7 linked regions of the Ovis aries genome follow. The protein of the gene in region 5 purifies or fractionates together with the protein of the main gene of each other region. This does not show direct contact. Links are inferred from orthologs where the notes say so. Each region holds a gene or a part of one and is shown on either strand. Other genes may lie near its edges. The genes, in order: WDCP, C1H1orf226, FARP2, UBR5, PLK1, DCAF1 and CLSPN.

The links.
Region 1: the proteins of PLK1 (region 5) and WDCP purify together in Homo sapiens (affinity purification with mass spectrometry; 4 studies listed by BioGRID and IntAct, with this or other methods). This does not show direct contact. The link is inferred for Ovis aries from reciprocal best matches to the Homo sapiens genes PLK1 and WDCP.
Region 2: the proteins of PLK1 (region 5) and C1H1orf226 purify together in Homo sapiens (affinity purification with mass spectrometry; 3 studies listed by BioGRID and IntAct, counting the BioPlex papers as one, with this or other methods). This does not show direct contact. The link is inferred for Ovis aries from reciprocal best matches to the Homo sapiens genes PLK1 and NOS1AP.
Region 3: the proteins of PLK1 (region 5) and FARP2 purify together in Homo sapiens (affinity purification with mass spectrometry; 3 studies listed by BioGRID and IntAct, with this or other methods). This does not show direct contact. The link is inferred for Ovis aries from reciprocal best matches to the Homo sapiens genes PLK1 and FARP2.
Region 4: the proteins of PLK1 (region 5) and UBR5 purify together in Homo sapiens (affinity purification with mass spectrometry; 4 studies listed by BioGRID and IntAct, with this or other methods). This does not show direct contact. The link is inferred for Ovis aries from reciprocal best matches to the Homo sapiens genes PLK1 and UBR5.
Region 6: the proteins of PLK1 (region 5) and DCAF1 purify together in Homo sapiens (affinity purification with mass spectrometry; 3 studies listed by BioGRID and IntAct, with this or other methods). This does not show direct contact. The link is inferred for Ovis aries from reciprocal best matches to the Homo sapiens genes PLK1 and DCAF1.
Region 7: the proteins of PLK1 (region 5) and CLSPN purify together in Homo sapiens (affinity purification with western blotting; 3 studies listed by BioGRID, with this or other methods). This does not show direct contact. The link is inferred for Ovis aries from reciprocal best matches to the Homo sapiens genes PLK1 and CLSPN.

What each region holds. Positions count from the first base shown.
Region 1 is NC_056056.1:31,714,316-31,717,815, reverse strand, and holds part of WDCP (WD repeat and coiled-coil-containing protein), read left to right. Parts: coding exon 1-1,221; intron 1,222-3,500.
Region 2 is NC_056054.1:113,541,098-113,545,381, forward strand, and holds the start of C1H1orf226 (uncharacterized protein C1orf226 homolog), read left to right. Parts: upstream 1-1,484; 5' UTR 1,485-1,953; coding exon 1,954-2,058; intron 2,059-4,284. UniProt on the Homo sapiens protein: Adapter protein involved in neuronal nitric-oxide (NO) synthesis regulation via its association with nNOS/NOS1. The complex formed with NOS1 and synapsins is necessary for specific NO and synapsin functions at a presynaptic level.
Region 3 is NC_056054.1:376,891-380,390, reverse strand, and holds the end of FARP2 (FERM, ARHGEF and pleckstrin domain-containing protein 2), read left to right. Parts: intron 1-346; coding exon 347-367; intron 368-553; coding exon 554-636; intron 637-1,303; coding exon 1,304-1,416; intron 1,417-1,614; coding exon 1,615-1,778; intron 1,779-2,365; coding exon 2,366-2,473; intron 2,474-2,576; coding exon 2,577-2,728; intron 2,729-2,958; coding exon 2,959-3,028; 3' UTR 3,029-3,432; downstream 3,433-3,500. UniProt on the Homo sapiens protein: Functions as a guanine nucleotide exchange factor that activates RAC1. May have relatively low activity. Plays a role in the response to class 3 semaphorins and remodeling of the actin cytoskeleton.
Region 4 is NC_056062.1:75,041,825-75,045,324, reverse strand, and holds part of UBR5 (E3 ubiquitin-protein ligase UBR5), read right to left. Parts: intron 1,888-3,500; coding exon 1,764-1,887; intron 1,147-1,763; coding exon 1,035-1,146; intron 20-1,034; coding exon 1-19. UniProt on the Homo sapiens protein: E3 ubiquitin-protein ligase involved in different protein quality control pathways in the cytoplasm and nucleus. Mainly acts as a ubiquitin chain elongator that extends pre-ubiquitinated substrates.
Region 5 is NC_056077.1:21,880,673-21,884,695, forward strand, and holds the start of PLK1 (serine/threonine-protein kinase PLK1), read left to right. Parts: upstream 1-1,223; 5' UTR 1,224-1,330; coding exon 1,331-1,732; intron 1,733-2,394; coding exon 2,395-2,563; intron 2,564-3,942; coding exon 3,943-4,023. UniProt on the Homo sapiens protein: Serine/threonine-protein kinase that performs several important functions throughout M phase of the cell cycle, including the regulation of centrosome maturation and spindle assembly, the removal of cohesins from chromosome arms, the inactivation of anaphase-promoting complex/cyclosome (APC/C) inhibitors, and the regulation of mitotic exit and cytokinesis.
Region 6 is NC_056072.1:49,405,488-49,408,987, reverse strand, and holds part of DCAF1 (DDB1- and CUL4-associated factor 1), read right to left. Parts: intron 3,125-3,500; coding exon 2,926-3,124; intron 1,495-2,925; coding exon 1,412-1,494; intron 871-1,411; coding exon 786-870; intron 1-785. UniProt on the Homo sapiens protein: Acts both as a substrate recognition component of E3 ubiquitin-protein ligase complexes and as an atypical serine/threonine-protein kinase, playing key roles in various processes such as cell cycle, telomerase regulation and histone modification.
Region 7 is NC_056054.1:10,698,991-10,702,490, reverse strand, and holds part of CLSPN (claspin), read left to right. Parts: coding exon 1-176; intron 177-506; coding exon 507-661; intron 662-1,455; coding exon 1,456-1,682; intron 1,683-2,254; coding exon 2,255-2,366; intron 2,367-3,323; coding exon 3,324-3,399; intron 3,400-3,500.

The sequences.
Region 1 (3,500 bases), on a different chromosome or scaffold from region 5:
AAGACTCTTCACAGGTGCTCCCTCTGTCCCGTCTTTGATGTGGACAGCTACGTGCGCTCAATCGGGGCCACTGTGGACTCACAGGTCGCTATAGCCACTGAGCTTCCGCTGGACAAGATTTGTGGGTTAAATGCTTCTGGAACTTTTGACGTTCCCCCTAGTGGTGAAGACACTTGTCTGCGTGCTTTACCAGTTACTGATCCACTTTCCTCTGAAACAAATTCTGAAACACCAGTGTCGTCATCCTTTTCTGAGCCTCTGGATCTAACTCATATCCACTTCAACAGATTTAAATCTGAGGGTAGTTCTCTTACTTGTCTAAGAAAAAAAGACTACTTGACAGGAACTGGCCTAGATTCTTCACATTTGGTCCTTTTGACCTTTGAGAAGGAGGTTACCTGCAACAGAAAAGTCATCATTCCAGGCATTCTGGTTCCTGATCTAATAGCATTTAATCTCAAAGCACAAGCAGTCGCAGTGGCTTCCAATACATCTAATGTAATTTTTATCTATTCTGTCATTCCGTTATTAATGCCAAACATCCAGCAGATTCAGTTAGAAAGTAATGAAAGACCAAAAGGCATATGTTTCTTGACAGATGAATTACTATTAATTTTGGTGGGAAGACAAAAGTCCACTGACTCGGCATTTCTTCCTTCTTCAAAATCTGATCAGTATATGATTCGTTTGATTGTTAGAGAGGTAATGCTGAAAGAAGACTCTCCAGTAACACTGAGTGAAAACCAGAGTGGTAACTCTGCTTTCAGTACTCTGATAAATAAAACAAATATAAAAAAGCTAATTGAAGATCTTTCGCCGGATTTTTGTCACCAAAGCAGAGGGCTCTTGTTCACAGCTAATAGCAGCAGTCAAAGTGGACGGCCTGGAAGAACCCTTATTGAAGAAATAGAAAGTCCTGCATCCAGCATCTGTGATGGCTCCACAGTCCTAGAAACTCTAGATGCCAAGCCTGTTAACTGGTCAGTAACACTGCCCAGACCCAGCAGCACACCAGCCCACACCAGTACCGCAGAACCTCCTAACTTAGAACGGGAAAAGGAAATGTACCAGCTGTCTAAGGAACTGGAAGTTGTATCTAGGAACCTGAGTGAAGTGCAGCGACATCTTTCTGAACTCAGCAACTTTCTGCACAATGGAAAGAAATCCTCTCCAGTGTACCCACTCTCTCAGGATCTGCCTTATGTTCACATCACTTGCCAGGTAACTTCTCCTCTGGGGGAACTACCACTGGCTCCTGTAGCCAGTATGTGCTGCAAGAGAAATTTATTGTTGAGGCAGTGGGGTTCTAATTGAACTTCACTGAGCTGGGCATGTTATGTTCAGGCAAGTTTTTATACCTTTTCAGGTTGGTTGGATAGGCCCACATAGCAATATACACCATGACTTTATCATGCGCATGGTATGAAGACATGAATTCTTGCACTCATTCTGGCAATCTATGTTTAGAAAACAAATTCTTAAATCATGCTGTTTCATTGAGAAGACCTTTTCTTATATGCAGTTGCAAGCTCTCTTCCACTTATAAGAAAGGTTATAGTCATTACAATTTTTTAATGTACCTATGTATTATTGTATATGCAAACATAAAATATTTAAATGGGCTCATATAATATCTTATTTTATCATGAATACTTTCCCATTGAACTTGGTCCTGCTTCTCCCTGTAATCCACTTTTAGCTAGTAGCTTAATGTGGATCCTTGCATATTTTTCCTTCGTACTCATATAATCTTACACAGATCTTTGCTTAATTCATAGGTATATAGGGGTTGGGGTAGTGATTTTCTCATTGTTTTACAAACATGGGGTCATATGGTGTATTCTTTACTTCATGCTGACAGCATTCTGTTTATTCAGTTCTTCCCTTGTTGATGGACAGTCACTTTGTTTTCAGTTCTTAGCCACTCCAAATAGTGCTGCAATAGTATTCTCATATGTATCTATTTATATTCATACTTTTATTTCTATTGGCTTGGTTCCCAGAAGTGGAAGTGTAGATTTGAAGAGTATATATATATAATATGTATATGCTTCTACTTTTAATAGAGTTGCCAGATTGCCTTTCAAAGACTTTTTACTAAACAATGAATCATCACATGCCCGTCAGCAACATATGGGACTATCCTTTTCCTTACATCCTCACCAATCTGATGAATGTGAAGTAGTATTTCACTTTTATTAATTGTTTTTCCCATACTGTTGGCTATGATGAATGCTTAATCATGGATGACTCTTTGTGACCCCGTGGACTGTAGCCTGCCAGGCTCCTCTGTCCATGGGATTCTGCAGGTGAGAATACTGGAGTGGGTTGCCATTTCCTACTCTAGAGGATCTTCCCAACCCAGGGATCAAACCTTGTCTCTTGTGTCCTCTGCATTGGCAGGCAGGTTCTTTTACTGTGCCACCTGGGAAGCCCCTGGTAATTCACTACTGTTAATGAATTTGAGTATATCCTCATGTGTTTTGGTCAGTTGAGTGTGAATTGCCTTTTGCTCATTATTTGCTATTGAGTTACCAGTTTACAAGAGGTTTTCTAAAGAAATTGATAGATGTATAGTAACCTAGGTTTTCTTGTATTATTTTATTACATTAGTTTTTACATTTATGTTTTTAATCATTGATTAAAATTTTCTGAAAGGTAAGTAGTTGTGCTACCGACATTATTAAAAATGCATCTTTATCCCACTGAACTTGATCTACCAAATTTCTTATATATAAACTTACATATCCTGAGATCTAATTCTGGTTACTTCTTACTGCAGCTACTGTAATACTGGTCTTTGTCTAAAACTTTAACAGTACCACACTGATAGGATTACTGTGGACTTATATATCTTTGTTTAAAGATATATAGATATATCTTTTGTCAGTTGATAGTTAGCATTTTTTTAAGCAGTAAAGCATTTTAAAATTAAGGTATGTACATTATTAGACATATGCAGTTGCATACTTAAGTACAGAATATGCACTGTGTGTCCTCCATGGCTAAATTGTGTGTGACTCTCTGACTCCATGGACTGGAGCACTCCAGGCTCCCCTGTCCATGGGATTCTCCAGGCAAGAATACTGGAGTGGGTTGCCATTTCTTCCTCCAGAGGATCTTCCCAACCCAGGGATCGAACCCATGTCTCCTGCATTGGCAGGAAGATTCTTTACCTCTGTGCCACCTGAGAAGCCCAGAATATGCACTGCTGCTGCTACAGCTAAGTCACGTCAGTCGTGTCCGACTCTGTGCGACCCCATAGACGGCAGCCCACCAGGCTCCCCTGTCCCTGGGATTCTCCCAGGCAAGAGCACTGGAGTGGGTTGCCATTCCCTTCTCCAATGCATGAAAGTGAAAAGTGAAAGTGAAGTCGCTCAGTTGTATCCAACCCTTAGCGACCCCATGGACTGCAGCCTACCAGGCTCCTCTGCCCATGGGATTTTCCAGGCAAGAGTACTGGAGTGGGTGCCATTGCTTTCTCAGGAATATGCACTAGG
Region 2 (4,284 bases), on a different chromosome or scaffold from region 5:
GTCTTGCCTTTTAGTTGCTGAGTTCCTGTGCCAGGTTTTAGAGAGGGCATTAGGATGCATATTAAAACCACGGTGACATTCAAAGAGTCACACATGCCTGATTAGACTTTCATGTCCTGTATTTATAAAAAGGTTAGTGGAGCATTTCCTCCGTGCAAATTATTTTTGGTTCTTACTAATATTTATGAATATAATAAAGTTTATACAGCAGAAGGTATATGATTAATTTGTTTTAGTCATCAGCTTGCTTTCATATAAGGAGATATCCCAGAAGAGGCTACATCTTGACCAGTAATTTCAGCAGGTAGGGATCAGGCAACATATAGCAAAGAGCAATTGTACTTCAGCACTATGGGGCAAAATAAGAAATAGATTTATGACAATAATGTGTTCTCTTATATAAATGTATCACAGAAATATTATAGGAAGACATGCCTCTTGGAAGTAATTTTATTGTGATGCTTTTGGGGCCTTGACTATACAACAATAGTGTCTGTATGTCAAGTTGTCCCGGGTGGATGTGTCCACAAGGTATTAGTAGGTTTAAATTGAATTCAGCAGAGTTGCTGACCATTGGCTCTCAGTGATCTCAGGTTGGGCTAGCTTTGGCACCAGACTATCCGGTTACTTTTGACTCGCGGGTAGTATTAACCCATGTTCCTCTACCCATGGGGTCTGATACATAATTGGTCACTAACTATCCCTTTGCCCCGCCCTTCCTTTGCACATTTTTGCATGGCAAAAAAAACCTCTTGGTGTAAAGGAGAAAAGTGAATGGGTCTCTTCTTAACAATAAGCAAATTGAACTGAAGCACTTCCTAAGATAGGAAGAGTACTAACTTGGAAGCCCATTTTGTCTACAACCAGCTTTAGGTTGTTTAAGAAAATGGAAACGTTGTGGGCTCTTTTGTCCTTAGTACGCTTCATCGGCCTATTCCATTTCCATGAGGCTTATGGTTTTAACATTAACACTAAAACCACCCCCAAAGGCATCCCCACAACCCTCCAATAATACAAGTCACAAAACAGCTCAAAGGAACGAACACAAAGCACCTGCGATCGTCCTCCATTTGGGTGCAGTCTTGATTCTCCAAAGAAAGGAAACTCTCAGAATTAATGGTCTGAATACACACGGGCCAGGACTTGGGCCTTCCTGGTAAAACATTAAAAACAAAACAATAAACACCAGCCCCTCCCCCCTCCAAAAACAAAAACAGAAAACCCAAGGCGCCGCCGCTGCTAACTATTAGGAGCCTGGCTCAGACTCTGACTGTAAAAAACAAAAACAGGACTGAGCCTGCGTTCCTGGGACACCGGCTGTCCAGGGTCAGGGCGAAGTTCCCGGGGTCCAGCCCGGGGACGCGGGCAGAGCCGGGCGCCACGCTCCCGGGGACTTTCACCTGCTCCGCGGGCAGCGCGGGGGCGGGCCCGGCGGCGGGCGGAGCCTGGGCGCCCTGCGGGAGGAGCCGGCCCGGGCCCGCCCCGCAGGAGGAGTCGCTCGCCGGCGGCTGATCCGGCGTCTCCGTGACAGGCACCCAGCTCCGCCGCCGCCGCCGCCTTTTCTTCCTCGTCCCGGGCTGTCCGCGCCTCTGTTCCCGGGCCAGCGCCGCGCCCAGTCCCAGCGCGGGCCGCGCGCCCACCGCTCCCCTCCCCCGGCCTGGGCGCCGCGCTGCCCGCTCCCACCGCCGCCCCCGCCGCCTTCCTCGCCGGCAGGAATTGCGCGGCCACAGCGCCGCTCGCGTCGCCCGCATCCGTGCCGCCCGGCCCTCGGCGTCTCTCCGAGTCCCGGCTTCCACGGCCGCCGCGCGGCCGGGGCGCCTCCAACCCGGCGACCCTCCGCTTGCGCCCCCTCCGCGCGCCGCCGCCCCCGGCTCCCGCCTCCCCTCCCAGCGGTCTCGCCAGCTCCTTCCTGCCTCCACCGCCTCCGGAGGAGCCGGTCCACCGCGGGTCACCATGCCCAGCAAAACCAAGTACAACCTTGTGGACGATGGTCACGACCTGCGGATCCCCTTGCACAACGAGGACGCCTTCCAGCACGGCATCTGCTTCGAGGCCAAGGTGAGGGGCCCCGGGGAAGGGACTGTCCCGGAGGGGGCATGTCTGAGCGGATGGGATGCGCAGCCATCCCGGACGCAGAGCTGGTGGTGGGTTAGGCTGATTTGGGGGCCTTTCTGTTAGGGAGGATGACTCCCCTTCTCTGTATAGAATTCCGCGGGTTCCTGCCCAGAACTGCTACAGAGTAACTGCAAAGTTTGAGCGGTATTGCTTCATCCCCCTCCTCCCACCTGCAAACTGCCCCCTCCTTACCCACCCAGGACTCACTGAGTTACTTCCCTGATCCCTCCTTCTGAGAAGAAGCCAGTCGGGGAGCGTAGCCTGCACTTGGTTCTTTAGAATCGCTTTAGGGAAGCTTTGGTGTCATTTACCTGTTGGGATCCCGTGGGAGAGGTGCTTTCAGAAAGGTCTTTTATAAGGGGAATACCTGCTTCCTGATTGAAGAAAATAATACAGGGGTGGGTTTGTTTTTAGATTCCTGGTAACCCCAGCCAGGTGTCAGAGTCACTTCCTAAATGCCTTATTAGCCACGACTCCTTTGCAAGTGCCAGTCATTGAAGGGGGAGGTGTGGTGAAAGCTGCCCGGTTGCTAGTTTTGTGGCGTAATGTGAAGTTTCAGCATCTAGTAGGGGACTGCGGCTGAAGAATTTATCGGTGAGGGCGGGGGGAGGCGGGCGCGGCAACAGGAATTTTCAGCTCGGAGCCCCAGGTCCGTCCTTGGGAGAGGGGGTGGGGCGGAAGCCTCTGAACTGCACCATCAGGTGTGAATAAGGCTGCCCCCCTGTCATGCGCTTCCCAGAGTGAGGAGTTCTGGTTTCTGAGATTGCAGCCGGGGTTCCTGCCCATCACAAGGGAGGAGTGCTACTGCTCTTCCTTCGTGCTTCTTGACGCCCTCCCCTCAAGACTCAAGGATGCTCAGCACCTACTGTGTGCCTGTCACTGACAAGTGACGGAAAATACCACCCCTCCTAGTCGGTTGTGTCTTGCTGGTTTTGGAAAGGTAATGCGTTCGACATGGAGGCAGTTTTACTCTCTGTCCCCCTTTTCTCCTTCATAGGTAAGGTGTTAAGCATCTCAGGCAAGGATTACTCCATCAGGTGGCTATTTCCTTCAATTCATGAGACATCTTTTTGAGAGTCTGATGTGAGTCCAGTGCACAGTTATCTCTCAGTTTTGTTTTTTTTTCCTTCTCCTAGTGATGTTAAATCTTACCTTTTCTCCCGCTTCCTAAATAACCTTCCCCCAACCATATTTGCTAGAGCTAGGAGGACACCCCCTGTTCCCCTAGACATCAAGCCCTGCAGTGGAATGCAGAACTGAATTACTGGGTATGGCTGGGACCAGAGTGGGGCTGTAGCCAAGATCTTATCTTGCTTCTCTCAGAATAGATCTGGTTGGTTTGATACCAGATCAGATGGGTTAATTTTTGTCCGGGCCTGTTGCTTCGGTGATCAGGTTTTTAAATTTTAAGGTATGAGTTTTCATCACATCATGACTTAATTTTCTCGGACATGCATGAACTAGGCAGTTGGCTTTGGTCTTCTTTGGTTCACCATTACTCTGCTTTGCAAGGCTGGGCGGCAGAAGAGAGATCAGGATTAAAGTGTTTTTAACCTTTTGATTCTTTTCTCACAGTCTCTGCTAGTTTGGTCCTAGCGAGGACTCTTAACCTAGCGTGCATAAGAATCACCAGGTGAGGTTGTTGACAACTCTGATTGTTGCCGTCCCCAATTCTAATCTGATACATCTAGGGAGAGAGCAGGACTGTGCCCCTCTAAGGAGCATTCCAGGAGCTTTAATGCAGGTGATTGGGACCAACATTGGAGAAACACTGGTGGTGCGGTTCCTATGGTAACTTCCCTGGATTCATACACAGTGGTGCTTGATAAGACGAGGGGGAACCACAGTTGGTCCCTGCTGTGTTCCCATTACAGATTTGGGGTGCAGCACACCAAGGGTTCTGCTTTGAGAATGGTGAAGTGGGGAAGAAAGGGCAGGGCTGACTTTGAGAACTGGGTCCTAACTCCCAGCTGTTTGTAATCGATGCTGGACACCAGTACATTCAAATCATGTTAGCTGAGACCTGAGCAGAGGTGGAAGTAGACGCTTTTCTTCCTGAGAGCATCTGGCAAGTGCCTCGTCTGGCTGGTTTTCACATCCCTCCTGAGCAGTGTCCATGGAAGTGCACGATCACTGGGATTTCAGGGTTAAATGCACGCCACACTCTTT
Region 3 (3,500 bases), on a different chromosome or scaffold from region 5:
CCAGAGGTCTCCTCAGGCGCGCAGGGCTTTGGCAGAGGCTCCAGTGCCTGGGAACGGCCACTCCGCTCTTTGTGACACAGTGGATCCTGTCAGTCAGCTTCAGAACGCCAGACCGTCCTGCATCTCTGGAACCACCTGGCTTGCTATAGAACGATGCCTTGTCTCTGCCTTTAGGTCCAATTAGGGAATACTTTTTCCTGGAGTTATTTAATCCCTTATCATCACGGTTAGTCTGTGTGGATTTTCTTTGAGTCTTTGTTAGGTTTTGGCACCACTTTATATCATGAATTGTCTGACTCTCTTTTCAACAAAACGCTCACCGTCTCTTCCTGTGCTTGACTTTCAGCTGATAGTGCTGGACCCGCCGGTGAGTAGCCGGGTGCCTGTGGCCCTCAGGTCGTCCACCTGGGTGGCAGGGCCCCAGCGGGGGCATCCCAGTGCCCCCTGTAGCCCCGGGTAGAGTCAGCGGGGGCCTGGTGCGCGCCTGCGTCCAGCTGCAAGCTCGGGTCCCACCAGCCCCGCTCCTGGTCCAGACCCCCCTCTCCGCCCACAGGTGGAGGATCGGGAGAGTGAGCGGTCTGTGCCGCACTGCTTCACCATCTACGCGGCTCGGAAGACCATCGTGGTGGCGGCCAGGTGAGGGCTGTCCTTCCCCGTCTGCCTGTGGGCCCATGCCATGCACGTCACGGTCACCGGGACACACGGCCCGGTGAGCACTGCTTCAGGGGAGCAGCTTCACCCTCAGTGGGAGCGTGTGGCTGCTGAGACCATCCCCAGGACGGCCCGGCACTGCAGGCTGCCCCCTGCCCCAGAGCTGGGCAGCAACTGGCCGCCTGGGCCACAGCGCAGGACCAGTGGACATTTCCCTGCCCCAGGTCACATCCCCGGGAAGGAGACCCAGGCTCTGATGGCCTGTGCGGGCCCTCCGTGGGGATCGGCACTGAGCTGTGCCCGGTCCCACGCCTCCCAGAGGAGGGCCTGGGTCCTGCCGCACCCTGTGGGGTCCTGGCTGGAGTCAGAGCACAGCACACTCACCTCCCACCAGGAGACCTTGGCAGCTTAACTGTGATCCAGGCTTCAGGCACCCATTTCTGCAACAGAGCTCTAAAATCCCGTGATTCAGGAACATACCATGATGTGGGCCAGCCCCAGCCAGCACGGTGGGTCAGGCTGGGCCACCAGCAGCCCTGCCAGCCCTCAGGACCTGCAGCAGGGGGTGCCTGGGCAGGGCAGGCGCCCCAACTCCCTGCCCCACTGCGGAAGGGGGCCCTGCGCAGCGGCTGAGCCTCAGGCCTGTCCGCAGCACCCGGCTGGAGAAGGCCAAGTGGCTGCATGACCTGAACGCGGCCATCGACGCAGTCAAGACTGGCAGCACTCCGGCGCCCCCGGCCTGCGTGCTGTGCCCTCTGCCCCGTGGTGAGTGCTAGCCGAGCCCCTAGACACCGAGGAGGCCTTCTGGGGGCGGGGCTGGGGGTCGCCTGGGCAGCCCACCCACTACACCCGCATGCCCTCCTTCCATGGGGCATGTTTAGGGGGCGGTGGGCATGGGCGCTCTGGCAGGGCAGTGTGTGGCCAGGGTTCCCACAGCCTCAGCCAGGGCTGGCCTCTCCCCAGGGTTCCCCGACGAGGCCTCTATGGAGCCGGAGTCCGGGGACGAGGCTGGTGGGGCCCGGGGCTCCGTGGTGGGAACAGGCCAGCTCCGCGCCAGTACCACCGCGCACGTGTGCTGGTGCCGCCAGACCAGCGTATCCAGGGCCGACCACAGCGCAGCCGGCGAGGTGCGGCCAAGCGCGGGCACCCCTGCTCTGCTCCCTCCCTGCAGCAGCGCGCAGCCTGGTGTGTCAGGCCCCTGGGCACCCCCAGAGCAGGTGGGGGCCAGGCCAGGGAGTGAGCAGGCAGCGGGCCAACTCGCGGGGACCCACCGGACAGGAGGTGACCTGGGTGCCCCTCTGCCATCTGTGCTAGCCCCAGGGTCAGAGGTGTGGGGCCCCAGCCTGAGGAGCTGCCTGCGCCGTCCATGGGCTCAGGCCTGGGGCCGCACTCGCAACGCCCAGAGGGATGGGGTGCGCCAGCGGGCAGCACGGTGGGCACCACAGCAGGGCACGCAAGCACCATGCCCCCAGCCTGCGGGTAGACGCCGCTGTGGGCGTCCCGTGGAGCCCCAGCCCTCATCCGGAGCCTCAGCCCATTCCCGTGTCTGTCCCGGGACGCTGGGGACAAGGAGCGCCGGGCTCGTCCAGCCTCTCCCTGCCCAGTGGACCGTTAAAGACAGCGCCAGGGCCAGGGGAGGCGCCCAGTCAAGCCTGGGGGAGGCCCTCCAGGGCTGGTGGTCCCGGGACACATGTCCACAGGCATTTCTCTTCAGAACCAGCTTTCTGGATACCTGCTGAGGAAGTTCAAGAACAGCAGTGGCTGGCAAAAGCTCTGGGTGGTCTTTACCAATTTCTGTTTGTTCTTCTACAAAACTCATCAGGTAGGCGGGGGCTCCACCTGTGGGCGCTGCAGCCTCACAGAACCCGCCTCTGGGTGGGCAGGGCTGGGCGCCTGCCGAGTAAGCACGCCCTGCCACCTTCCAGGACGACCACCCCCTGGCCAGCCTCCCGTTGCTGGGCTACAGCGTGAGCCTGCCCAGGGACACTGACAGCATCCACAAGGAGCATGTCTTCAAGCTCCAGTTCAAGTCCCACGTCTACTTCTTCCGGGCCGAGAGCAAGTACACGTTCAGGAGGTAACTGCAGAGGCGCCGGCTGTGCCCACTGAGGACTGGCTGCGCACTCCCTGGGTCTGGAGGGGCTGCCGAGCGCTGCTGCTGGGGTTTAAGGGGCCCTTCCCTCTTGACTTGGGATCGTTCTTGGGAAGGTGTTGGGGCACAAGCCCGCCGATCTGAGGACCAGAGCACGCCCCGCCTCCCAGGCGAGCAGTTGGTGGGGCGGTTCTGACCTCTACGCCTCCTCTCAGGTGGATGGAGGTGATAGAGAGAGCCAGCGCCTCAGCTGGGAGGGCCGGGACCCCTGAGGAGGAGGCCTGAGGCCCACCCTGCCCCAGACGCAGACAGCCGAGCAAGCAAGGCCAGCACGCACCCCACGACTGCTTGTTCCCCCAGGAGACTGGTGGCAGGCGAGCCTCCGGCGCCACCTGGCAGGGAGGGCTGCCCTGGGCCCCGCGAGGCGCCAGGAGGGCAGCAGGGGGAGCAGGCGCGCTCTGTGCAGGCAAGGCTGGCGCTGCCCCGCCCTCAACCACCTGCCCTCCTCTTCCTCCTCCTGGGCCGGGCCTCCCGTCAGGCTGGGTGATGTGAGGGGTCTAGGCACAGAAGCCTCTCTGGTGCCCCCGGGCCCACACTTCTGAAAAGTGGACAGCAAGCCCCTCTAATTTATCCCAAGAAGTGTACGGTGCTCATGCGCCGAGTGGCTGAGAATAAAAGGCTTCTTCATGCTTGGTCCCACGTGCTGCCTTGCCCCGCCAGCTCTCCGGCCAGCGGCCGCTCGTGCCCACCTTGGGTG
Region 4 (3,500 bases), on a different chromosome or scaffold from region 5:
TCCAGCTCCATGTCGCTCCCTAGCAAATATATTTAAATAACAAGAAAATAAGGTACAAACACACTATCGATCAAGACAGGCTGATAAGACAGAATACTGTAAGGGTGGGAAGGGAAGGGAGCGGGGCAGAGAGGACTGGTAATGCTAGAGTATGCATAACTGCCCACTTAGCATAAGAATGACCAGGTAAATCATGGTACTCAGTGAACACAGACACAAAATTTGGCCTGCATAGCCTTAGGTAAAAAATATTAGGCAGGAGGACTTCAACAAGTGGACAGAGCTCAGGGTTAGGGCCACTGCTTCATTTTCATCAATTTTACATATTGGGATTCCAAGAGGGGAAGAAGGCTAATAAACATGTATCCTTTGTATCTCACTGTATATACACAAATGTCATAACATACTAAGTTATGAATTTTCAACATGTATAGTTTTCGGCATGTCAATTAAACCTCAATAAAGGTGATCCCCAGAAGTCTATCCTATGGCTATTAAGAAGGATGACGGCTATGGAGCAAAAAGGCCTACATGAAAAATCAAAATAAAAAATTTACACATAATATGAAAGACACGCATGAGAATGGGGCAGTACAGGGGAGGACTGAAAGTAAAAACTGTTAGCGTCTGGGTGGGATTATGGGTTGTCTTCCCTTACCTCAATTTTCAAATGTTATGTTGGTTATGATTATTTTGATTTTAAAAGACTTTTAAGAAAATAGAAAGTGTAAACCAAATGGTAAATGGAGAGATGATAAATTATTTTATGCATGTAAACATATAAAAGTCTATACATTGGGTTGGCCAAAAAGCTTGCTTAGGTTTTCTGAAGATGTGGTAAAGCCCAAGTGAACTTTTTGGCTAATCCAGTATTTATATTTCTGTATGTAAAAGTCTGTCAGATACTACAGAATCCCCTGGCAGAAGTATGCTGAACGTTTCACTATACATTAAGTACTATTTCCTCTGTATTAGTTCCTCTTTAAAGGCACCTGGTTTTCTCATACAGGTAATTTCACCAATAACCTGCTTACCGTCTTCATCATGCTCATCGTGCTGTCCCTCTGCCTCAGCATTTTCTTCGCCATGTTCTTCCTGTTCGTCATGGTGATCCTCTTCTCCAGCCACACCCTCCACCACCTCAACCTAAATCCAGATCTTATTTGTAGACAATCAAAGTACATAATAAACCCACATCTCTACCAGTATTCCCCCACAGCATTTAGTAACTAAAATACAAAGATCACTAACTACAGGGAACTGTAACACTAAGTAGTTTTGAAATTTTTCATTTGCTAGCAAAAATTTGGTATAAAAAATTATGCCAACATATCCCAAAGTTTATGATTACTATCCATACACAAAAGCTTAAAATCAGAAATATAAAAACTGTGTGGGGAATATATGTTTTTTAAACTTTGGCAATTATAAAATTTATATAATAAATATGCAGCAGCCTCTCTACCTCTGAATACACTGCACAAAACTACTAAAACATTTTTAACATTGAGAATATCTTTTCTGTGAACCCTGAAGTAGAGTTACGTTTATTTCTAATTTCTCATTAGCCAATGAAACAAGGATTACTAACATATTTTAATATGTGTAACTACAAATGAGAACATATAACCGAAGTCTAAAAGGTAGAAGCATATACATGTAACAGTGGTAAGCTACCGTTAATAAAACATCTAGTGACTACTTTCCCCTTCCCTCCCAAATAAAAGCCTCTCATGTACCACAGTTACAACAACTGAAACCACCTCTTCCACATCTGCTGAAACGATGTCATCCTGTTCTTCATCCCGGCCGCGGACAGGCTGTGACTGGCTGATGCGCCTCTGCTGTGGGTTCCGGATGATGTAGGACGACTGAGACTGACTGGAGCTGTAAGGAAGCAGCTTGTGAGCACGCTGCGGCCACCACCCTGACAGACAGCATAGACCCCTCAGAGTTATTCAACGTGGTTCACAACCTGCTCTTTCCAATCTGACCAAATGTTTCTTGGAAAGCAACAATAATTAATCTATGGTATATCAGAAAATGTGTAGCCCCAAAGAAATCATCTTACCTAAGATTTAACTTATAAATCTCAGAATGGTTTTTACTTTTTAGTAGTAAGGCATTTCCAGTCTGTGTTAATGCATACTTTTTCCCGTTCTCCCCACTGAAATATTTCTACAGAGACAATGTTTCCTTTTCCATTGCTAAACCTTTCAACTTCCAAAGGCTCTGGTAGCAGCATTCACCCACTAAGGAGAGTCCCTTATTTACAAGTAACCTACTCTTTAAGAGACTTGACTCACATGACCTACTTTGCATCAGCTTATTAACCACTGACTTGCTGATGAGTGTGGGGAAAAAAATAAGTTCAGAAGTACAATTATAAAATAAATCATAACAAAAGATGGGGTGGCAAAATACTGGGTTGGCCAAAAAGTTCGAATTTTCTGGCCAACCCAGTAATTTTGCTTTCTTAAAAATGTGACTTGGAAACAGCCAAGAATGGACAGATGTCTCCATTATAAAAGATGTTTAAGACGTCTCTTGCACATCTTAGAAACTCTGCAACTCAAAAGTGCGGCCTTGAGAGCAGCAGTACTGGCACGGTCCTATCTGCGAGTCCACAAGAAATACAGACTCTCAGGCCCCACCCAGACCTCCAGAATCAGCCTCTGCATTTTAGTAAGACACCCAAGAGTTCTGCATGCATGTTAAAATTTGAGAAGCACTGTGATAAAAGACATCAGAATATTTCAGTTGCTAAACACTCTGACTCAGCCAACTTAGAGCCTAGTTAGGTAAACTATTAAACAAATGGAAAAATGAGATTTAAGATCAATGCTGTAACTAGAATTGAATTGTTTTAGTCTTATCCCATAAGAAGGATCCCCGAACCTCAGAATCAAATGTGGGATGGTCTGAGGTGGAGTTATGTAATAATAACAGAAATAAAGTACACAATAAATGTAAAGTGCTTAAATTATCCTTACTCTAGTCCACGGAAAAACTGTCTACCACAAAATCGGTCCCTGGTGCCACAAAGGCTGGGGACCACTACTGTATGAGTGCACAGAATATTTTAAAATTCCATCATTCTGTTGTTATTTAGATTATATAATAACCTGCCCCCTTGCCCAAAGCTTTGGACACAGAGAAAGGTAAGACGTCTTTTCATTCTTCAGCTTGGCCTTCTAGCACGCTATATTTAAAGGTAAGAAAAAAGACAAAAGTAATGAAGCACAGAAGCCTAAAGTAAACTTTCTCACCTGATTACTTTTTTGGTATAATAAAAAGTGCCATTCTAAACAAACAAACCAACCAAATCGCACCCCCCTCCATTATATGTCTATTACTTTAAATGTACAGACATATAGTTTTTAAAGTGCTTTTCACATGTTCCAAACAAGATAAAATCTTTACCATTTGTTAAACGAATGATCCTGTACATAACCAGAGTGCCTATACCTCAGGTTTAGTTTAGTTTTAGATTTTAGTAA
Region 5 (4,023 bases):
AACTCCCTTTTATTTATAAAGCATTTTAGTCACTCCTTTTTGCCAAGCATTGTGCTGAGAGCTTGGGACATGGGGTAGGAAAGATGTCTTCATTGCCTCTGAGTTTATTGGGAGTTATGTAAAGAGATAACTGATATGACTTTTGCTGACTCCTAGCAAAGACATCATAGGATGCTGGGCTTACAACTTGAGTGATTCTCAGGGTTGCCACTTAAGTATCTATGGAAGCCAGACAGGCAAAGGGGCAAAGGAGGGTTATCAGGGAACTCTGACAAACTGGGAAGGTATGTTAAGTAAGCATAGAGTTGCAACAGCTAATAGTTTTTTCAAAGTTGCATTTTTATGTGAGCTGTCTTGATTTTTCACTCCTGTATATGAATCCAAATTTTAAAAAGTGAAAGACCAAACAAAACACCTCTGCAGCCAAATTTGACCTTGGCTTACCAGTTTGCCAGGCATTCTGCCAACCTGTCATCTTTCCCTCTTACAAAACACTTGAGGGTCCACTATTTTAGGCACTGGGAAATAGAGCAGTGAGCCAGCCAGACAATTTTCTTGCAGAATGACCCTGGCGGGGGTGGTGGGGTTCTGGTACTGTACTTCTCAAACTTCAATATGTGTGGGAATCACTGGGTAGATTCTGAATTGGGGGGGTCTGCGTTGAGGCCTGAAGCTTTGGCTTTCTAACAAGCTCCCAGGTGTTGGTGATGTTGGTGGCCCCTGCTGTTATTTGAAGAAGAGTAGGGGGTTTGTCTGGAAGATGCGTTTGCCTGGCAAGCATTCTCTTTAGACTTCGATTTTAGTTTATGGGGTGATTTGGAAGAGAGCTGGTGACTTCCGGGGCGGATGTTAGGGCTCCCCCATGCTGTCTCTCATTCTAGGTCTCTATTCTCAGAGTTTATAATCTAGAAGGCGAGGTGGGGATGGAGGAAGGTGCTGGGAAAAGCTTCCTGGAGGAGGTCCTCGCGGACTGCAGGAGCTTCCCCTGCCGTCGAGAAAGGAGAAACCCTGAACGCACCCTCTTCTGGGGCGGGGTCTCAGCAGCCCCACACCAGCTTTGGTTTCCCAGGCATCCCACGTGTCTTCCGTCCGCCATCCCTGCCAATCAAGCTCCTCCCAGGGCCTGGGTGAGAGTTTAAAGGCGGCTGCAGTGCCGAGCGCTCCCAGAGTGCCGCGCGGCGGGCGGGTTTGGATTTTAAATCCCCGCGGCCAATCAGTAGCGCGTAGGCTCTTGTAACGTTCCCGGCGCCGCGTTTGAATTCGAGGAGAGGCAGAGCCGTGCCAAGCCTCTGCCTAGACCCTGCTAGGTCCGCTGAGCAACTCCGGGAACATGAGTGCGGCGGCAACTGCAGGGAAGCTGGGGCGGGCACCAGCCGACCCAGGGAAAGCGCCCGGAGTTGCAGCTCCCGGGGCTCCGACGGCCGCCCCGCCGGCGAAAGAGATTCCGGAGGTCCTAGTGGACCCTCGCAGCCGGCGGCGCTATCTACGGGGTCGCTTTTTGGGGAAGGGTGGCTTTGCCAAGTGCTTTGAGATCTCGGATGCGGACACTAAGGAGGTGTTCGCGGGCAAGATCGTGCCTAAGTCGCTGTTGCTCAAACCGCACCAAAAGGAGAAGATGTCCATGGAGATATCCATTCACCGCAGCCTCGCTCACCAGCACGTCGTAGGCTTCCACGGCTTTTTCGAAGACAACGACTTCGTGTTCGTGGTGTTGGAGCTCTGCCGCCGGAGGGTGAGTGTCGCTGCTGGGGAACTGGAACTGCCCTGGCGTCAGGGGTTGGGGCACTGGGAACCGGAGCTGCTGGGGAAGGGGCGCCCCGGGGCTCAGAGCTGCTAGGGAAGAGGTGCTGGGAACCTGGAACTGGAAATGGAGAAAGTCTTGGGGAGAGGGAAGGTTCTCGGCACTTGGGGCCTCTAGGGAAGGCGGCTTCTGAACGCTAGGAGTTGGGCGGATTGGGGGAGGTGCGGGAGAACCTTGCTTATGGACGCCAGGGCTTTGGAGTTGCTAGGTAAGGGATATTGCGGACCCTCACTTTCCCGAGTAGGGTTGGGTCAGGCAGAGGGTAGTTGGAGCCAGACTTCGGAGCTTCCGGGGGAGGGGAGGGGCAGGAAAGGGACCTGTTGCTGCCAAGAGTTCCGGGACCGGGATACTGGGGTCTCTGAGCTTCCGGAGGGGTCTGAGAGAGGGGTCCCAGGTAAGGGTTTTGGGAGGGAGCCAGTGGGAGAGGGTTGCTATGAACTGTTGCGGCCTGGTTTTGGGGGGGGGGGGAGTCTGGATCGCAGTTGTCCTGAAGAAATGGTTAGTAGCGTCCTGGCTGCCTTTACCTAATGACACTCCCTCCCTGCCTTGGGTCTGAGCACCGGCTCCCATTTCTCCTTCCCTCCTGCTCCCAGTCTCTCCTGGAGCTGCACAAGCGGAGGAAAGCTCTCACGGAGCCCGAGGCCCGCTACTACCTGCGGCAGATCGTCCTGGGCTGCCAGTACCTGCACGGAAACCGCGTTATTCACAGAGACCTCAAGCTGGGCAATCTCTTCCTGAACGAGGATCTGGAGGTGAAAATAGGTAAGGAGCTGGGACTGCAAGGGCATTTGACATGCAGTGGGAATGAGGAGGAGCTGGGAGGGAGGGTGAGGGAGAGGAAATTTGGAAAGAGACAAGGGAGAGAGGAAGAGGATGGTAGGAAGTCTGGGCTGTTGATTGGCTGTAGAATCCTCTCTTAGGACAGGAACTTAAAGAGCTACAAACCAGTGTCTTGTCTGCAGATGTGCTTTGAGGGGGGCAGTGTGTTCTATACAGTTTGTTTTTTTTTTTTAAGAATTTGGATTTGTTTTCACTTTTTAAAAATATTTTTTCAATTTACTTATTTCGGCTGCACTGGGTCTCCGCTGCTGCATGCCTTTCTCTGGTGCGGTGAGTGGGGGCTACTCTGCGTCGCATGTGCGGATTTCTCATTGCAGTGGCTTCTCCTTGTGGAGCGCAGGCTTCAGCAGTTGTGGCTCCAGCGCTCTAGAGCACAGGTTCAGTAGTTGTGGCACATGGGCTTAGGTGCTCTGTGGCACATGGGATCCTCACCGACCAGGAATGGAACCTGTTTCTCCAGCATTGGCAGGTGAATTCTTTACCACTGAGCCATCACGGAAGCCGCTCCTCATTTTCACTTTTTTAAACTGAGAGCCTTGATGTAAAACTTTGAATTTGGAGCTCCTTTTAAACACTCGAGAGCTCCAGCAGTACAGGGGTAGCGTTCCCTCAAGACAGCTCTTTGCTGTACTGAACAGCAGCTGTTCCCTTTAGATGCCCTATGGTTTGCCACATTCCCCACCCCTCCGTATCACTTCCTCACAAACTTGCCAAGTAGCCATCTTGACATTTACTTGCTTAATCCCTGAAGGTGTTTGAGTTTTGCTATCCCTGTCAGTCGGAGAAGGCAATGGCACCCCACTCCAGTACTCTTGCCTGGAAAATCCCGTGGATGGAGGAGCCTGGTAGGCTGCAGTCCATGGATCACGAAGAGTCGGACACGACTGAGCGACTTCACTTTCACTTTCATGTGTTGGAGAAGGAAATGGCAACCCACTGCAGTATTCTTGCCTGGAGAATCCCAGGGACGGAGGAGCCTAGTGGGCTGCTGTCTGTGGGGTCACATGGAGTCAGACATGACTGAAGCGACTTAGCAGATCCCTGTCAGTTCCCTTTTAGAAGTAAACCCCTCCTTTCTAAGGGGAGGGGTGATGAGAGTCTTTGGGAGGCCCTTCCCTAGGGCCAGCATGGTGGGAGGATTCCTGGGTAACAGGAATCTAGTCCTTGCTGTACACAAGGACTAGAGGCTTTGAGAGATCACTTGACCCTGGTTCTTGATGGTTACCAGCTGAACCAGCTGTCTGCATTGACAGACGACAGAAGCTGGCATCTGAGCCTCCCTCTTCCTCCCTCTGTCCCAGGGGATTTTGGACTGGCAACCAAAGTGGAGTATGACGGGGAACGGAAGAAGACCCTGTGCGGGACTCCTAATTACATAGCTC
Region 6 (3,500 bases), on a different chromosome or scaffold from region 5:
AGCCCAGCTCCACTGCAGCACTCATGTTAGCTGGAACACCACCCTCCTAACTGGAAAGCCTCCTCTTGCTTCTCTCACAGAAACCAGACTCACACTTTAGGAATTTTACATCCAATCACATGCCTTCTTAGTCACCCTCCAGTGTCCATCTCATACACAGGAAAAGCCAAAGGTCTTAAACAACACACTGCTACAAGAGGCTCCAGGGTATGCCCCCACTGACTTTGGTTATTATCCCCTCCTTCTCCTTCCCACCTCCCAGGAATGGGCTTTTCCCTTGCCATTCTGCATCTCAGATCACTTTCCCCAAGGTATCTGCATGACGCCCACGCTTCTTTCAAGACATTACTTAAACATTATCCAATCACTGACACTTATTTCCTGGATGAAAAAGAAGTCCCCCACACCACCACCAAGCATTTACTATCTCTTACCCTGCTCTCTTTTCCTTGGTAGCACTCACCACCTAACACACCATATATTTGCTTCTTTTTGTTTATTGTCTCCCCATATGGATCCACCAAGACAGGAACTTTACTTCATAGTGTTTCAAGGTATCTTTTGTGCTAATGAAACAGTTCTCAAACTGTAAGATTGCTCAGTCGTTTTACATTTTTCCCATATAGCCTGAAACTACTTCATTACAATTCTAGATTTTATCTGGAAAGAATCATCACTGAGTAATTTCTAGTTGCCCACAAGACTTAAGTAATCAGACTCAGTTCAAAAAGTTTCAGTATAAACAGACAAATCACCCTGAAAAATGTGGATTCTTAAATACTTACATGGGCGATGTCTCCCTTCGTGCCTATGACCCGGTCCTGAGAATGCTTACTGAACTCAACATAATGATCTTCTGTAAAGGAATGCCTATGAACAAGCAACAGAAGTATTGCTGTAACTGATCTTCAGGACATAATTATTTAACTGACTAAAAAGAAAGTGATTCTCAGCCTCTGGCCTAACTATACTCACCTGAAGATTCTCAGCTCCCAAAGAGGAAAAAATTGTACACAAAAGATTAAAAAGAAAATTCCCTCCATCAATTTGTCCAAGAAGATTCAAAATAAATGAATGGGAACTACTTAGTTATAACAATGGCTAACAGGGTACATATGCCTCTGTAAGATGCCCCAGCAAAGAGCGCCACTATGAGAAAATAGAAAGATGTGCCCTTCTGGATCAGTGAAGGGTCTGCTGTCTGATGGGAATGTATATACTTGGTAAGAATACCCAGGAACCAAGAAAATAAAAAATCTTATTAAACATGTACCACAGATGAGGAAGAGAGAAGTCAGCAATAAACCTTACAGCATTCCTCTCTTCCCTCAAAAATGCTCTGTGTCAAAGAATCAGATGAAGGGGATAAATTGTAAAACAGAGACACTGAACTATAAAAGTAGATACATACTTCATATCAAATACTGATTTCATTCCCCAAAGTGCAGACAGAGGCTGGCTCCAGGTAGCCGATGTCAGCAGCAAGGATCCATCCTAAAAGAAGACGGGAAGCCCAATATGGGTAATCATGTGTTTACATAAATGCCATCCTTCATTAGCATTGTAAAATATAACATATATTACTGGATTATAAAGAAAACAGAAAAACTTTTAGGAATCAAGAAATGGTCAGAAGTTGCTAAGATTTAAGTAATATGTACCTATGTCACAAAAAATCACTAAATTTGAGAATATTTAATCCTCCTGAACTAGTAACATGAAATACAATAGTTTCAAGGGTGTGGTGGGTGGGGGATGATGAGACTTAGATGTCAAACATGGTTTCTCCTTTCTTAATATTTGGCCTTATTTCTCCATCTCTCTCATCTGAAGTATCAGTAAACTGAAAACAGCTGTTAGACTCTGTAGCTAAGGATTCTCAAAAGATTTTTTAAAGAGAAAGCCCAATAAAGATCAACTTGCTTTATTTTTCTTCCCAGCTCATCACCAAATTTACTCAATCTGTATTCCTCATGATTCCCCCATTATAATTTTTTCAGACTTTCTGTTTTGGACTGGGGTAGAGCCAATCACCAATGTTGTTACAGTTTCAGGTGAACAGCGAAGGGATTCAGCCGTGCACATACGTGTATCCCCTCTCCCCCGAACTCCTCACCCATCCAGCCTGCCGCACAACAGTGAGCAGAGTTCCCTGTGCTTTACAGCAGGTCCCTGCTGGTGATGCACTCTAAATGGAGCCACCTCCTTCACTTTAGAATGAGGGAAACTAGCCTTGTCATCTTAACAGTCTTGACTTGTAGAAACATCAAAAGCATTGATTTCATCCATAGAACAGTACTAATAACCCAGTCATATTTACAACGGATAACCAACAAGGCCCTACTGTAGAGCACAGGGAACTCTGCTCCGTGTCATGCGGCAGCCTGGATGGGAGGGGAGTCGAGGGCACAATGGAAGCATGTATGTGTAAGGCTGAGTCCCTCTGCTGTCCACCTGAAGCTATCACAACACTGCTTCTCAGCTATACTCCAATATAAAGAGTTAAAATGAACAGTACTACTAGACTGCCAGTGGGATCACACAATGCTTGTTTTCCTAAAAAATCACAGTACTTACAGATTTCCTTCCAAGACAAAAACTTTTGTGGTCATAGTTGATAGATAATCTCCATTTCTAAATAAAGCACATTAAAAATCTACCCACCTATCTTTAGGTCTGGAAAACATAAGGGCCAGATAGTACATACTTTGGGTTTTGCAGGCCACATGGTCTGTGCTGCATACAACAATACTCAACTCTGCCGCTGCAGCACAAAGCAGCCAGGACATACATAAACATCTGAGTATGGCTGTGTTCCAAACAAACTTTACACACAAACACAGGAAAGCGGTCAGCCCACACACCTGCAGTTCACCAACCTATCCTAGAAGCATGACTGAGCACAACCTAGGAGGGGAGCTTTACCCTGGAGGGCTCCAGGTGTGTGATGGCAGAGTTGTGACAGTTGTAGCTGGCCTCTTCCTGTCCACTGAACACGTTGTAGAGCTTCAGCTGCCCGGTGCAGGTGCCCAGCATCAGGAAGCGCTCTCGTGCAGAGAACGCACAGCAGGTGAGGCCACTCTCATCCTCGTTGGCTTCCCGGAACACTGAAATAGGACGGAACCTGAACAAACAGAAGAGAATCAGAGACAAACAATATGCAAAGACTCGGAAGAACAAAACTTTGTTAGAAGGACAGAAAGAAAAACAGCCTTTCTGTTTCAAGCGGGTTCTTCCAAATTATCAGTGACCGTCAGTGGTTCATCTTCATTTTACAAGAGAGAACTGGACCTTCACTTAAAAATGTTAACAATAACAAAAATTCCCATGTGAAAAACCTGAGATCCCACAACTTGTATGTAAGATTTTTTGAAAAATATCTATTGGGCTGCGCTGGATCTTAGTTGTGGCATGTGACCTCTTAATTGCGGCATAGTTCCCTGACGAGGGATTGAACCCAGGCCCCCTGCATTGGCAGTGTGAACTCTTACCTACTGGAC
Region 7 (3,500 bases), on a different chromosome or scaffold from region 5:
TGACAAAGGAGAGCAGCCACAATAGCAGCTTTGAGCTGATAGGCTCCACACTTCCATCCTATCAGCCTTGTAACAGACAAACAGGCCGCGGGACCAGTCTTTTCCCTACAGCAGGAGGATTCAGATCTCCTTCCCCAGGGCTATTTCGAGCCAGTTTGGTCAGTTCAGCCTCTAAGGTGAGATGGTAATGGTTTTCTAATCTCCTCCCCCTTTTGCTTCCCACATTGCTAAATAAAGTGTGTCCAAGCCAAAAACTCCCACCACATTATGTATGTTCAGTTTTAAAAATCCACCCCCTTTGTGTATTAAAAACAAGCCTCATCCAGGGTTCTTTCTTTCTTGAGGATGTTTTTTTTTTATGCTTCCCTTGGCTATGCATTGTCCTCCCCAACTGCAATTGCCTGAGAGTAGATTAGATTTTACAAATAGCAGCTTCTGTTGTTGTCATGACAGTGAATGACATTTGTAAAATGTTTTGTTTTTGTTTGGTTTTGTTTTGGTGCCAGAGTTCAGGAAAGCTGTCTGAGCCTTCACTTCCCATAGAGGATTCCCAAGATCTGTATAACGCCTCCCCAGAACCTAAGACACTTTTCCTAGGAGCAGGAGACTTCCAGTTCTGCTTAGAAGATGACACTCAGAGCCAACTGTTGGATGCAGATGGGTAGGTAGCTTTATGTTTCTGTGGGTGGGATTGTGCTGGGTACTGCTTAATTTTGTTTAAAAATAAAGCGAGCTTCTGTCACTCCATCTGTGCTTTCCCTTCTGAGAAAGAGAGGTGTGCAGACCATTAGTATTATATTCTACAAGTCTGAACAAAGTCTGTCTAGAAAATAAAAAGTAAATAGCCTTGCTAGTGTTCTGATCCTTCAATTTCTACCTTATTAGACCTGCATAACTCTTATAAGGTCATCAAATTTCCCTGTATCCATATCCCTGGGGGCTCAAGTGGTAAAGAATCTGCCTGCAGTGCGGGAGACCTGGGTTTGATCCCTGGGTCGGGAAGATCCCCTGGAGAAAGAAACGGCAACCTGCTCCAGTATTCTTGCCTGGAGAATTCCATGGACGGAGGAGCCTGGAGGGCCCCAGTCCATGGCATCGCAGAGAGTCGGACACGACTGAGTGACTAACACTTTGACCTTTGTCCCACTACAGTAGGAATTTTGGGTGGCATTGAGAATTGACACCTCTGTGGCACATTACATGGCCATAACACCAGGCCCTACTCTAGCACCATCTGAAGCCCCAAATTAGCCTTTACCCTTTGTCTTTTGAATAGCCTTCTTTCATAAACATCCCCCTCCCTCTTAAGGTTATCACAGGCTAAAATCTGACACTCTTATCTTCTGGTTCAGAATTCAGCTTCTAACTTTTCTTTTGGAAATGAGTTCAGGCTTTTCCCCCACTACTTTTTTTTTTTTCCTGAAGCATTTCTTACACTCTTCATTGGGCTTGTAGGTTCTTAAATGTTAGAAACCACAGGAATCAATACCAAGATTTGAAGCCTCGGTTGCCGTTGGCCAGTATGGATGAGAACGCCATGGATGCCAACATGGATGAACTGTTGGATTTGTGTACTGGGAAATTTGCATCTCAGGCTGAAAAGCCTCTGCCTGGGAAGAGTGACAAGAAAGAGAACATGGAGGAACTTCTGGATCTTTGTTCAGGAAAATTTACTTCTCAGGGTAATTATCCAACAAAGCAGCAAGGCTCACCCGCCCAAATACCGTCAGTGTCCATGTGAAGAAGTCCCTTAATCTCAGGTGAAATGTTCACAGAAAACAGCCATGGTGGATTCTTGAACCTAGGTTGAATTCACTGCTTAGCTCCTAACATTTAGAGCTCTTCCTTTTTTAGGATGGTGAAGTATCACCTTAAGACTGCTTTAACTTTGGCCATATGACTTGTCATTTATGGCTAGAATATGTGCAAAGCTTAGAGCGGCGTCTGCTGCAGAGTAAACTTCATATAAATGCTAAGTTATTACTTCCACCTGTGCACCCCTTTCTCCTTCTCACACCTCTGCTAGAATGTAAGCTCTTTGGGAGCTGGGATCTTTGTTTTATTCACTGATGTCTCCCTGGTGCCTGGCACATAGTAAGCACTAAATAGGGATTTGCTGAATGAGTGGATGGTGAGCTCTTTTTGGCAAGCTTACCTTAGAACTGTGTTGAGCTGGCATGTCTTCAGATGGCTGGGGAAAGAGGATAAAGCTGTCAGTTCTCGGTGACAAATCTTTTTCTTTGTTGTAATGTAGATGTCTCTACTTTGGATCCATCAGAGTTAAATAAGCAGGAGAAGGAGAGCAGCCTGGGTGATCCAATGGAAGAAGCACTCGCTCTTTGTTCAGGCTCTTTCCCAACAGACCGGTGAGTCCCAGTGATCTGAGGGAATTTGGCAAGTTCCACCTTCTGATAAAGTACAGGGGTAGCTTCTCTGGGCTTAGCAGTAAATGGTCATCTTAGGGGCTTCATATCCTGTCTGAGAGTCTTGCAATGGGTTTGAGTCTCATATTTGAACAGTGAAATTATTTATTCTAATGCTTTCATTTAGTTGATTGTGAACAGGATAAAAAAGGCAAGAAAAGGCACATGGAAGCTCTCACCATCACTAGTGATTAAGGAAATACAAACCAAAACCCCATTTTTTAAATACTTCCTCACTCCCAGCAGTTATTCCACGTTTGGGTATATACACAAAAGAACTGAGAACACGGTTTCTTAGTAGATATTTGCACACCCATGTTCCTAGCAGCATTATTCATAATAGTTACAAGGTGGAAGCATCCCAAGTGGGTGCATGCATAGTGGAATATTATTCAGCCTTTAAAAGGAAAGGAGGTTCTGATACATGCTGAGACATGGGTGAACTGTGAGGAGATTATGCTAAGTGAAGTGAGCCATTCACAAATATGCAGATACTGTATGATTTATATGAGGTCTTAGTGTAGTCAAATTCATACAGACAGGAAGTAGGAAGGTGGTTGCCAGGGGCTGTGCGGCGGTAAGAATGAGGAGTTGGTATTGAAAGGGTATAGAGTTTTAGTTTTTTAAGATGAAAAGTGTTCTAGAGGTTGGTTGGATAACACTGTGAATGTACTTAACACTAATGAACTGTACACTTAAAATGGTTAAGATAGCAAACTTTGTGTTGTATGTATTTTATCACAGTTTGGAAAAAAAATTTTTTTTGAAAGGCAAGATATCTTGTTTCCTGTTTTTGAAGAGATTCTTGGGGCTATAAGATATTTTCGGTCCCTAAGTTGGCTGACTGCTTATAGTTGGCTTTCAACAACTTGTGTATGGATTTGTTGATTTGCATCTTAGGGAAGAAGAAGGTGAAGAGGAGGAATTTGGAGACTTTCGGCTTGTCCCAAATGATAATGAGTTTGATAGTGATGAGGTGAGTTTGAAGGGAACAAAGTAATCATAACTGAACTCCGTGTATAGCTGCTGGGGAGTTTTGTTTGTTTTGTAGTTTGAATTCTTGAGAAGTCTGTTTGG